3 linked regions of the Callithrix jacchus genome follow. The protein of the gene in region 2 purifies or fractionates together with the protein of the main gene of each other region. This does not show direct contact. Links are inferred from orthologs where the notes say so. Each region holds a gene or a part of one and is shown on either strand. Other genes may lie near its edges. The genes, in order: JDP2, JUN and cyclic AMP-dependent transcription factor ATF-7.

Region 1 (3,744 bases), on a different chromosome or scaffold from region 2:
GAGAATGATGTTCTTTCACAGACTATCAAATTACTGCTCATTTTCCAATGAATATTCTCTCAGGGCCTTGCTTTCTTCTTACCTGCCCACACCAGTGTTGCCAGGGAGATTGCTGGTGGCGAAGGTGAAAATGGTCAGGCAATGTCATTGGAACTCGGTCTGTCTCTCTCATTCCATTAGCCCAGTTCTTTTATCCAGAAAGATTTCAGTGCACTGGGGAAATAAGGAGAATAAGATCTCAGGCACTCACTCACACGGAAGAGACATGCATGCTTGAGTTTGCTCATTTGCACCCATCTGTCTCCAGTCTTGTTTCCTTCACTCTGAGCATCTGCACTCCAAGAAGGCATGAACTTTTTCTTTCACTTCCTTTCTTCTATGGGTGATGATCTGACATCACTCTGAGGAGGCCGAAAGTCGCTGAGTATAAAAATCGTCAATCCCATCCGGCTTAGGCAGAAGGTAGGGGGCTCGATGGGTACCCAGGAGCTCTGGAGGTAGGAGATGCCTAGGGAACCTGTTCTACCTGAGGGCTCTGTGTCGCTGCCTTTGTATACTGGAAGGCACCATGGATGTCACTTTTCCTCTGGAGTCTCCTTCACCATTTCCTCTCTAGGAGGATGGAAGGTGGGAGTGGGGTTGGCTATGGAGGTTGTAACGGGGAAGAAGGTCACCTGGGGTCTATCGAGGGCTGAGTCTGCTCACTGCTGTGTCCAGAGGGCATAGGAGAAGCCCTCTGGAGTAGGGCAGAAGGGTCCAACTGTGCCACGGGTCTAACTGTGCCAGCCGCAGAGCAAGCCGCGGTCTCAGGCTGCAGCCCTAGCCGAGGGCAGGCTGGTGCAGCGAGCCGCCTGGGGGCCTAAGGGCGCTGGCGGGGGCCGGTGGGTAGGAGTAGGGGTCCCCAAATGCCTTCATCTCAGCCCATCCTTCTCCACCGAAACATAAAGCAGGTTGACGAGATCGCCTCCTCGCCCGCTCAGTCCTGAAGTGTCCAAAGATGAAATTATGCCGAAATTCTCCCTGTCTCTGAGGGGAAGCGCCGGCACTGAGGAACCGGGTCCACAAAGGCTGTGCGTGAAGGGGCTTCTGACTTGTCCCCCGGCCCCGGCGTCGCTTCTCTCTCCCAGGGCTGCGGCTGCTGCCTGGCGGGCGCAAGTCGGGCGGCGGTGCGCTGGGGGTGCGCTTACATAACCGCTCGCCGCGTCCTGCTTTCTCGCGCGCTCCTGCACCGTGGGGTGGCGGAGCCGGGGGACTGGATGGAACCCGGGCCGCCCCCGCGGGGAGAGGAGCGCGAGCGGCCGCGGGAGGAGGGCGCCCGAGGCGGCAGGGGAGGTTAAGGTCAGTGGGTGTGAAGCGCCGGCTCCACACCCCCTCCCCCCCGGTCCCCTCCTTCCCTTCCTCTCCGTCCCCCTCTGACGTCTGGAGCTGGCAGCTCGGCCGGTTCCGCATTCCCGACCCCTCCCCGCCGCCCAGGGGCCGCTATATAGCCGGGGCTGATGCAACCCGTCCCGCCGCCCGCCACAGCCTGCGGGAGGGACGCTCGGCGGCCGCGACGGGGGGCGCTGGCGGCAGGGCTGGCGCCGCGGCGGCTCCCGGGCCGGGACGGGCCTGGGCACCGGGCGGAGCTCCGCGGCCGGGCGGCAGCGGCGCGGAGCGGGCACGGCGCCTGCAGCCGGGCCCCGGCCCCGGGGGCGCCGCCTCCGCCGGCAGCTTCTGCACGGTGGGTGCGAGGGCGCGCGCTGGGGGCTCCGGGCGGGGCGGGGCGGGGCGCGGGCACCTGGGACAGCCGCCCCCGCGCGGGCGGAGTGCGAGGAGGAGCCCCAGCCCAGCCCCGCCGGGAGGGTCCCGCAGCCCTAGGACCCCGAGCTTTCTCCGCGCGGGGCGCTGCAGCCGGGCCCCTCCCACGAGGCTCCGGGTAGCCGGAGGCTTCCTTTTGGTTCCCGCCCCAGGACGGGAGGCTCTGTCCGCTCCCTGGGCAGCCGGGCGCTCCCTCCTTCTCCCTCCCGCGCTCTCCTCCCCCGTCCGTTTGCAAGGAGGTGCTCTCCTCGGGCGGCGGGGAAGGTGGGGTGAGTGGGGAGAAAACTGCCCGCGGAGATGGGCCGTGCGGGTGGAGATGGAGGGTGAAGGGCCAGGGAGGTGCGGGGTTGGGGTGGGGGTTCGATTGTGGAGGGATGACTAGGACCTGCTGGCAGGGAGGAAGCGCGACCCCCGGAGGACCTGGTCCCGGAGGCGGGTATTGAGAAGGGCTTGGGATTTCCATGCAATGAAGGCAGCTTCTCCCATGGCCATTGCTCTGGGGCTCTGGGCTGGGAGGGGATCTAGGGGTGACTAGGGTCCCCTTTGGGCTCTCCTGTCTTCCACGCCAGGTTATATAAAGAGGCAAGCAGGCTCCTGTAGGTAACCAGCCTCTCCCTTGTCCAGCCCAGCTTAGAAGGCTCTCCTCTGCTCCTCCCCTCAAAGGAGGTTGTCGGGAGGTAGGGGGACAGTGGAGGCTGGGGGGAAGGTGTGGGGGTGGGCTTTCTTCCTGGACCCCTGGACCCTGGGGTGGCAGAGCCAGGCTTTGCCTGGGTCACTGGGAGGAGCAGGGAAGATGGGGAGGTTGGGGAAGATGGGAGGTCCTGGCTCTTTTGCATGGATGGAGAGGCTGGTGGAAGGAGACATCAACCGACCCCTTAGGTCATCTCCAGTTGCAAGATTGCTTGGCCTTTGCCCAGGGTGCTGCCCTCCCTATTGGCATCTAGGGCATGGGGCTATGGCCTGACCACATGTGCTCAGGGCAAATGTGCTCAGGCCTGTATCTCAGAAAGGGCTTGCAGCCTGCTTAGGTGTGTGTATCCAGGCTTAAATTTTGGTGAACTCTCCCCAGGGTCTTAATTTGAGGAGCATCAGGAACTGGGAAGTTTGAACCATGTTTGGGTACCTTTGTGCCCAATTGTCCTTTAAGTCCTTGCTAGGAACTGCATTCACATATCTCCCTTCCCCCAACCTCCCTTCCCTGAGGGTTTTAAAAAAACACTTCCCATTGCTTTTACCTCTCCAGCAAATCTGGCTGCAGCTTGGATGGATGGCTTATCTTCCTTTGCAGGTTTCTAGGGGAGCGTTTAACCAGGTATCAGGTGTGAGTGTGGCTCTGATTTTATATAAACCTGAGGATCGAGGAAGAGAAACAAAATCTATTCTCATGCCTCTGGGTGGTTAAGGTTTTGCCTTGTTGAGAGCAGGGAGGATGGATTTCTCAAAGACTCTTCTGTTCCCTACTACTTTGGCTTTGGTTCAGAGCTGCAGGCAGCTCCAGAATCTTCCTGAAGAGCTGGGTGCTGTGTGATTTGAAGGGCTGCAGGAAATCCTGGGTGTGTAGCCCTCAGGCTTTTCTCCTAGGTTGGCTGCAGCCACCTCCAAGGAGATGTGTTGCAAAGTGATGACAGTGCCCCCCAAGTGTTTGGATAAGGGTCTCCCCACTCACCTACTTCTAACTACTGCCTAACTTCTGCAGCTACTAGGGAATGCTCCTCACGACTCCCTGGGTCTGTTGTCTTCTCCCTACCTGTTTGCAGGGTGTATGGGCATCTTTTCCAACCTGCAGAATCCTTGGCAGAAATAGGCTCTCTGGGCCTCTGGTGTTGCAATGGGCTGTCTCTCTCCAGTGTCTGTTTCCAGCTCCACTCTGGAAAGAAAGGGGCCAACGCCGACTCTAGGCCGGCCTGCTCTGTATTCATTCAGCCCCAACTCAACTTGAGCAATCAG
Region 2 (3,744 bases):
ACATTTATTTCTAAAGTCTAATAGAGAACAGTTTTTACTGCTTGATAGTAAGAAGCACTGAGAGAGATTTTAATTGACATTCTTAACTTTCAACTCCACTTAGATAGCTAGTATCTATAGATGATGCAGAAAAGAGGTTAGGGGAGTACTTTTCAATAGTTTATTGCATTTTCTTAAATATCCTTTCTGGAATTTTCAGAAACAAAACATAAAAAAATTATATACTTTATTACAAATGGTAAACTCAGAGTGCTCCAAATCTCTTATTTACAAACAACACTGGGCAGGACACCCAAACAAACAAACAAGAAATAACTTACAAAGGCATGAAGCTGTTTATTGACAGTAATCAGCTTTCATCAAATTAAAAAAAATATATATGTACATACACAGTTAACGAAGGCAGGCCAGAAAGAGTTCATCTGCAGGCTCAGCCTCGCTCTCACAAACCTCCCTCCAGCCGCCCCTCCCCAACCCTCCCCCCCACGCTTTGTGTTCTTAAGGAGTACTACAGAAGCAATCTACAGTCTCTATTGCAGTTTGTAACCCCCTCCCCCTCCCCCCTTTAATACTGAATGAGATCGAATGTTAGGTCCATGCAGTTCTTGGTCAATGTTAACGAAAAGTCTAACGTTCCGTTCGCGCGGGGACAGCCCATCCGCAAAGCCGGGCAGCCCGCAGACGGCCGCTCCCTGGCTCCACGCCAAGGGAGTGCGCGCCAAGTCCTTCCCACTCGTGCACACTGGGGGCGCCGTCAGGACGCAACCCAGTCCAACTTGGATACCCTTGGCTTTAGTTCTCGGACACTTCTTTTTCCTCTCCGCTGCAACTTGTCAAGTTCTCAAGTCTGTCTCTGTTATTTTTTTCTCCGTTGCCCCTCAGTCCCCGACAGTCTCTCTTCAAAACGTTTGCAACTGCTGCGTTAGCATGAGTTGGCACCCACTGTTAACGTGGTTCATGACTTTCTGTTTAAGCTGTGCCACCTGTTCCCTGAGCATGTTGGCCGTGGACGCCAGCTCCGAGTTCTGAGCTTTCAAGGTTTTCACTTTTTCCTCCAGCCGGGCGATTCTCTCCAGCTTCCTTTTTCGGCACTTGGAGGCAGCGATGCGGTTCCTCATGCGCTTCCTCTCTGCCTTGATCCGCTCCTGGGACTCCATGTCGATGGGGGACAGGGGCGGCGTCTCGCCGGGCATCTCGGGCACTGTCTGAGGCTCCTCCTTCAGGGCCTGCAGTCGCGGGTGCTGCACCGGCATCTGCTGGGGCAAGTGGTGGGGCGGCTGCGGCGGCTGCTGCTGCTGCTGGGGTTGCGCGGGAAAGGCCAGGCCGGCCGCGCCGTAGGAGGGCGCCCCGCCGCCGCTGCTCAGCGCTCCGGGGTTGAAGTTGCTGAGGTTGGCGTAGACCGGCGGCTCGCTGTGCAGGCTGGCGCTGAAGCCGCCGCTGCCACTGCCCCCCGCCACCGAGGCCACCGCGGGAGCCACCATGCCCGCCCCGCTGACCGGCTGCGCCGCCGACGTGACGCTGGGATGTGTGTTCTGGCTGTGCAGCTCGGCCAGGGCGCGCACGAAACCCTCGGCGAAGCCCTCCTGCTCGTCTGTCACGTTCTTGGGGCACAAGAACTGGGTGGGGGTCGGCGTGGTGGTAATGTGCCCATTGCTGGACTGGATGATGAGGCGCTCCAGCTCGGGAGACGCCAGCTTGAGCAGCCCCACGTCGGGCGAGGTGAGGAGGTCCGAGTTCTTGGCGCGAAGGTGCGGCTTCAGGCTCCCCACTGGGTCGGCCAGGTTCAGGGTCATACTCTGTTTCAGGATCTTGGGGTTACTGTAGCCATAAGCTCCGCTCTCGGACTGGAGGAACGAGGCGTTGAGGGCATCGTCATAGAAGGTCGTTTCCATCTTTGCAGTCATAGAACAGTCCGTCACTTCACGTGAGGTTAGTTTGGGCTGCGCGCAGAAGTTTCGGGGCCGCAACAGCGCTCTGGCAAGCGGGGTACACCCGCGTCCCCCCGGGCCTTTGGCGGGGAAAGTTTCTCTAAGAGCGTGCGCGCCTGCTGGCAGTCGTCCCCGCTGCGCCCTACTCACCAACTCGCTCCTGGGAGCGCAGGGTTAATTAAGATGCCTCCCGCACTCTTACTTGTTGGCTCGCGCGCGCTGCCCGGCTTTGAAAAGTCGCGGTCACTCACTGAGCGATCTTCGGTCGCAGCGGTTCCTCGGAGCCCGCGGGCGAACTCACTTCCAGGAGCGGCGGTTCTCCCAGAGGCGCGGATCAGTGCGGACCCCGCAGTGGCCAGCCGGCGGCGGGTCTCGGCCGCCCGGACTCCGACGACTTGTCCCCTCCTCCGCTGCGAGGGGGAGGGGGCGCCCGGCAGCCGCGGCTTGCGCTCGCCCAAGTTCAGCAACCAGTGCGAGCGAAGCTGAGCGCACGTCCTTCTCTCGCGCGTCTCTCCAACGCCTTTTGGTCTTTACCGCCGTCGAGCAGCCTAAGGCGCAGGAAAGGCTTGCAAAAGTTCGCTCCGGGACTCTGGGCCACTTGGCCCGGGTCCTCCCAGCCGGGAAAGTTCTTTGCCGCTGCAGCCGCTCGCCGACGTCCCCCGGCGGGCGCGTGGGTACCGCTGCTCTCCGCCGCTGTCAGCAGCGCTTGGGCAGCGGGGTTCTTCTCCCGGGGGCGGCTGGAGACCAGGCTCTCCCCGCACTCCTCGAAACACCAGCCCCGGAGCCACAGGCGCTAGCTCTGGGCAGTTGGAGAGAAGATGGAAAAGAAAAGATTTGCAGCTCGGACTCTACTGCAGTCCTGGCTGTCTGGCTGTGTCTGTCTGTCTGCCTGAGACCGCGCACCTCCACTCCCGCCTTGCTGCTTCAGCCACACTCAGTGCAACTCTGAGCCCTTATCCAGCCCGAGCTCAACACTTATCTGCTACCAGTCAACCCCTAAAAATAGCCCATGATGTCACCCCAAGGCTTTCCCATTGGCTCGCGTCGCTCTCAGGGGGGCGGGCCCGCCCGTCGCCATGGAGACTCCACCCTAGAAGATTCTTCTCTAGGCCCGCGGAGGCTCACGGGATGAGGTAATGCTCCGTTGCCCTCCTACAGTCGGTCCCTTCTTTCTCCTCCCCTCCCCCTGCCGCACGCCTCTCGGCCCTCTCTTCCCTGGTCTCCTCCCCCGGCCGTTTTTGCTGGCCCGCCCGGTGCATTGTGGGCTGACGTCTTGGGGTTTGACTGTCTAGTGACGGTGGCTGCCGCGAGCGGGCGGACGCTCGCAACGTCTCTGGGGTGGGGGGGGGCGCTCAAGTTCACGGCTCCGGACAGGGATGCAGAGATGCAGGGGATAAGGGGACGCGGGAGGCCAGGGAACCCGGCCAGTTGTTGGGGGCCAAGGGTGCGGGCGAGGGGTGGTTGGGGTTTCTCCACTTGTGGGGCTCGAAGTCATCCGCCGGCGTCTGCCACCGCGCGGGGCAGGAGGCTGAGAATCCAAGTCTGTGGCCCCCCCCGCGCACTTCCGGGGGCGGGAGCACCGCCCTTAAGGTGGCTCTGTGAAGTCCCAGTTGGGGGCGAGCCTAAGGGCGCTTAAGTTTGGGGGCGGTCTCGCGAGAGTCGGCCCCCCAAGTTGAGAACGCTCGGAACTTTGTCTTGGTCTAGTTCAGGAGCGATGGTCCGCGGGGTCGTCTGGCTGCTCATAGAAGCCGAGAAATTTGTATTGCCCGAAACTGAACGCTCAGCTGAGTCTCCGTTGCACCTCTCTTCATCCTCC
Region 3 (3,744 bases), on a different chromosome or scaffold from region 2:
AATTAACTACACAAGAAAGTGAACCTACACCCGTTTCAGCTTTGCTATCTAGGGAGAAATCATGTAGATTCTTCCTACCTCTCAGAGGGTGATGTGAAGATAGATAAGATGCTAGGCAGAAAGTTCAGAAAGTTTAGTAACATAAAGCTGCAAAAGGAGAGAACAGAGAGTTCGTGGATAATATTTTAAGTCTCTTTTCTAAGCTGGTTAGTATATACTTTTTTTTAATTAAAAAAATATTTTAAGTCAACTACAATTTGTTAAATTTTAAGAAATTTATTTATTTATTTATTTATTGAGACAGGTCTCACTCTGTTGCCCAGGCTGGAGTGCAGTGGCCTGATCTGGGCTCACTGCAACCTCAACCTCCTGGGCTCAAGCGTTCCTCTCACTTAGCCCCCAAAATAGCTGGTACTACAAGTACAGGCCATCATGCCTGGCTAATTTTGTATTTTTTGTAGAGCTGATGTTTCGCCATGTTGCCCAGGCTGGTCTCAAATTCCTGGGCTCAGGCAGTCCTCTTGCCTCATCCTGCCACTGTTGGGATTACAGGCATGAGTCACTGCACTCAGCCTGTTTTTTTTTTCTTTTCCTGGTTTGTCTTGAGCAAGACATATACATTTTTGAATACAGACTTTGCATTTGATATTTCCCCCAAAATCTTCCCAAGGCTATCTTGTCATAATTCAACTCCTCGTTTAAGTGTTACTTCCTCAAAGAGGTCGCTCAAACACTATTAAGCTTCTTCCCCACTCCGAGTCACTTTCTGTCTCACCATCCTGAAGCACTTTTCACTATTTAAAACATTTGTGTTTATTGGCTTTTTAACTGTCTCCCCTTCCCCATTCAAATATAAATTCTACCTGGGTTGATAACTCCTTAACTCTAGGCTTAGAACAATGCTTTGCACGTAGTATGCCCTATGTTTTGTGAAAATATTTGCTGAATAATATAGTGATTTAAAAAAAAACCCAAGCAGTTTCATGTATCTCATTTGATCATTTCAACTATTTGAATAAAATGAGGCCGGTCGCGGTGGCTCACGCCTGTAATCCCATCACTTTGGGAGGCCGAGGCGGGCAGATCACGAGGTCAGGAGATCGAGACCATCCTGGCCAACCATCCTGGCCCGTCTCAAATTATTAAAAAATAAATAAATAAATAAAATGCGATTGCTAGTCCCATTGTACAGAGACTCAGAGAAACTTTTCACCCAAGGCAATAGGGCTAGGAAAATGATAGTGTTATAATTGCTCTACAGGTGGATTGCTTTGTCCATACATGGACTTCATTTCTAGGGCTAAGGGTATTTTAAATCACTTTGCCTTTAAGGAAGCGATGACTCTGAAAGATGGTAGTAACCACTACTACAGGCACCTGTAAAGATCCTCTCCTTTTTCCTTTTTTTCCCCCGCTCTACTCTGCAGGCGAACACGTGTGACCTGTGTGTACAGCACTCGCTCAGTCTCCCTCCCTAGCCCTGCCCACAATAAGCCCGGCCCCTTGTTTTCCTGGAGCCCCGCCTCTCGGCCGCTTTCCAACTAAGCCCCCACGGATCTCGCCCTTCCCCCCGGCCGCATGATTTCTCGCGAGAGTTAAGCGCGCCTGACCGGACGGGAGGAAAGTATCCGCTCTGCCGAGGGGGGAAAGAAGGAGCTGGAGATAGATTGTAGGACAGAGTGCGGGCAGGCGGGAGGCAACGGAGCTACCAGCCGGTAAGTACTTTTAACATTAGCTAGTCCATGATCTGACGGGAGTCTCCCTTTCAACTCTGGCCAGTCCCAGCGTTCCAGGCTGGGGTCTCCCCTCCCAGTGTGTGTTGGACGGGGGCGCTGAGGCGGTGGCCGGGCCCTGTCTGAGGAAGAGGGTGGGGCATAGGCCAAAGCTGACCAATGGGGGAGAAGGAAACCTCGATTGGCGGCAATGAGCGCTAATGAGAGATCGCTTTTTCCTTGCCGAGCACCGCCCTCTTCTCTCTCTCTACTCCCGCCTCCTTCCTTGGGGAGGGGGAAGGCGGGGCCAGAGACTTGAAGTGTGGGGAGAACTTGGGGTAAGTAGCCCCGGGGGGCACAGGGCGTGGCAAGGAGAGGGGAATTGAATCCTGAGGGAACGGTAGTCTAGTGGAGCCTAAAGGAGTGATCACAGGATGGGGTGGAATGGTAGAAAGAGGAGGGATACTAAACTAGGTTAAGAACCCAGGGCTTCCCAAAGAGTGGGATTAGGAGCTTGGAATTGGAAAAGGGTAATAGGTAGGAGGTAGGAATGAGGAGATGAGAACAAAGATCTTGGTCTGGTGACACAACACCCGTTGGGTTTGACAGGAAAGATAGATAGGGGTAGATTATTGGAAATGAGGGTCATCGCATTTCGATTGAATTAATAAAAAGAACATCAGGGACGTGATATCAGAGAGAAAGTATGGATTTGGAGAAAGTTAAGTGAATGAGTTTAAGAGGACAGCATGGGTGAGCTGAGTCTCCATAAGGCATGGTTTCTGGAAGTATATGAGCCTTGAGAGCGATGAGAGAGGTGTTTGGGAAGGAGATGACTGGTATACATATGTCTTTTGCTTAGGTATCAGGTGGTTGCGATATTGATTTAGGGCTTCTGATGGATATGGCACCCAGACTGGTGACCAGCCTCCAAGATGCTGGCATGGGGGTTGAGGAGAAAAATAGCCCTTTCATCACTTCTCTGATTTTCTTTCTCCCTCTCTTCCATTTCCCAAACTCTTGAAACACTGGGATGTGGGCTTGGAACTTAAGCAGTCCAAGTTGGAGCCCCATAGGGACTTATATGTTGCTCTGAATTGCTTGTTATGTTCTCTGACTGGGGTGTTTACAACCCAGGGTACCTCCTACCCAGATTCCCGCGTTGCTACTTTCCTAACTTTAAAAGTTTTTTTTTTACTTAAAAGAGGGTATTTTAGTATCTCTGAGGGTCATGTCATATTAAAGTACAGGTGTGTAGGGGGTGTGCAGAGTTTTCTTAGGAAGCTCACACGAGTCCTGTGTTTAAAAATTGTACAGTAATTTAATTCTTGTAGAGATATCGGTCTTTATGGGCATTCTAAGCAGAAATATACCAAAATGAAGTTTGTTTTGTTAATCGTGGCTTCCCTGGTCATTCTCAAAGAGTTGTCAAATGGGTGGTTGCAGTTCGTTTTAGTTAGCTTATATAGTATGTTTTTAAATGGTGTAAATAAAATAGACATGTTATTTCAGGAAAGTGAAAAACGTTCAGTTTTTTTGCTTTGTGTCCACACTCAGAAACTAAAGATCTGCCATAGTATCTTAGGCCAAGGGCTGGGGAAATCAAACACAATTTGTACTTAAACATGGAAGATGTAAGGTAAGTGGAGGCTATTGCGAAATGTTAACATGTCTGTAAGAAAAGAAGCTAAAGAAAAGTTTGGCAGCTCTACTAAGTAGTCTTACCAGTTCTTAATTCTGTACAGAAAAGGGACAGGGCTTTGCCCTTTGTTTGATAGTTGTGTATCATTTAATAATAAATTGGACTAAATATAGCCAATTAATAGCCTCTTTAGTATTGCATAGATTTTGCTTTTACGTTCCTTCTCTTCTCCTTTTACTTTTGAGAAGTGAAATAATGTCTGAAATACCAGTAAAGCTATTATATGAAGAGAAACCACAGTATGTAGTTGTATTAACCTTTGGTTTTCTGCAACCATTTGAAGCTTTTCTCCCTGGCCAAGAAGTTACCCCTATAGCACATTGAGACCAA

The links.
Region 1: the proteins of JUN (region 2) and JDP2 purify together in Homo sapiens (co-immunoprecipitation; 3 studies listed by BioGRID and IntAct, with this or other methods). This does not show direct contact. The link is inferred for Callithrix jacchus from reciprocal best matches to the Homo sapiens genes JUN and JDP2.
Region 3: the proteins of JUN (region 2) and cyclic AMP-dependent transcription factor ATF-7 purify together in Homo sapiens (affinity purification with mass spectrometry; 3 studies listed by BioGRID and IntAct, with this or other methods). This does not show direct contact. The link is inferred for Callithrix jacchus from reciprocal best matches to the Homo sapiens genes JUN and ATF7.

Annotation. Positions count from the first base shown.
Region 1 is NC_133509.1:110,344,135-110,347,878, forward strand, and holds the start of JDP2 (jun dimerization protein 2), read left to right. Parts: upstream 1-1,510; 5' UTR 1,511-1,720; intron 1,721-2,020; exon of another isoform or gene 2,021-2,066; intron 2,067-3,744. UniProt on the Homo sapiens protein: Component of the AP-1 transcription factor that represses transactivation mediated by the Jun family of proteins.
Region 2 is NC_133508.1:95,863,874-95,867,617, forward strand, and holds the start of JUN (transcription factor Jun), read right to left. Parts: upstream 2,876-3,744; 5' UTR 1,905-2,875; coding exon 900-1,904; 3' UTR 1-899. UniProt on the Homo sapiens protein: Transcription factor that recognizes and binds to the AP-1 consensus motif 5'-TGA[GC]TCA-3'.
Region 3 is NC_133510.1:65,924,787-65,928,530, forward strand, and holds the start of cyclic AMP-dependent transcription factor ATF-7, read left to right. Parts: upstream 1-1,611; 5' UTR 1,612-1,715; intron 1,716-2,003; exon of another isoform or gene 2,004-2,050; intron 2,051-3,744. UniProt on the Homo sapiens protein: Stress-responsive chromatin regulator that plays a role in various biological processes including innate immunological memory, adipocyte differentiation or telomerase regulation.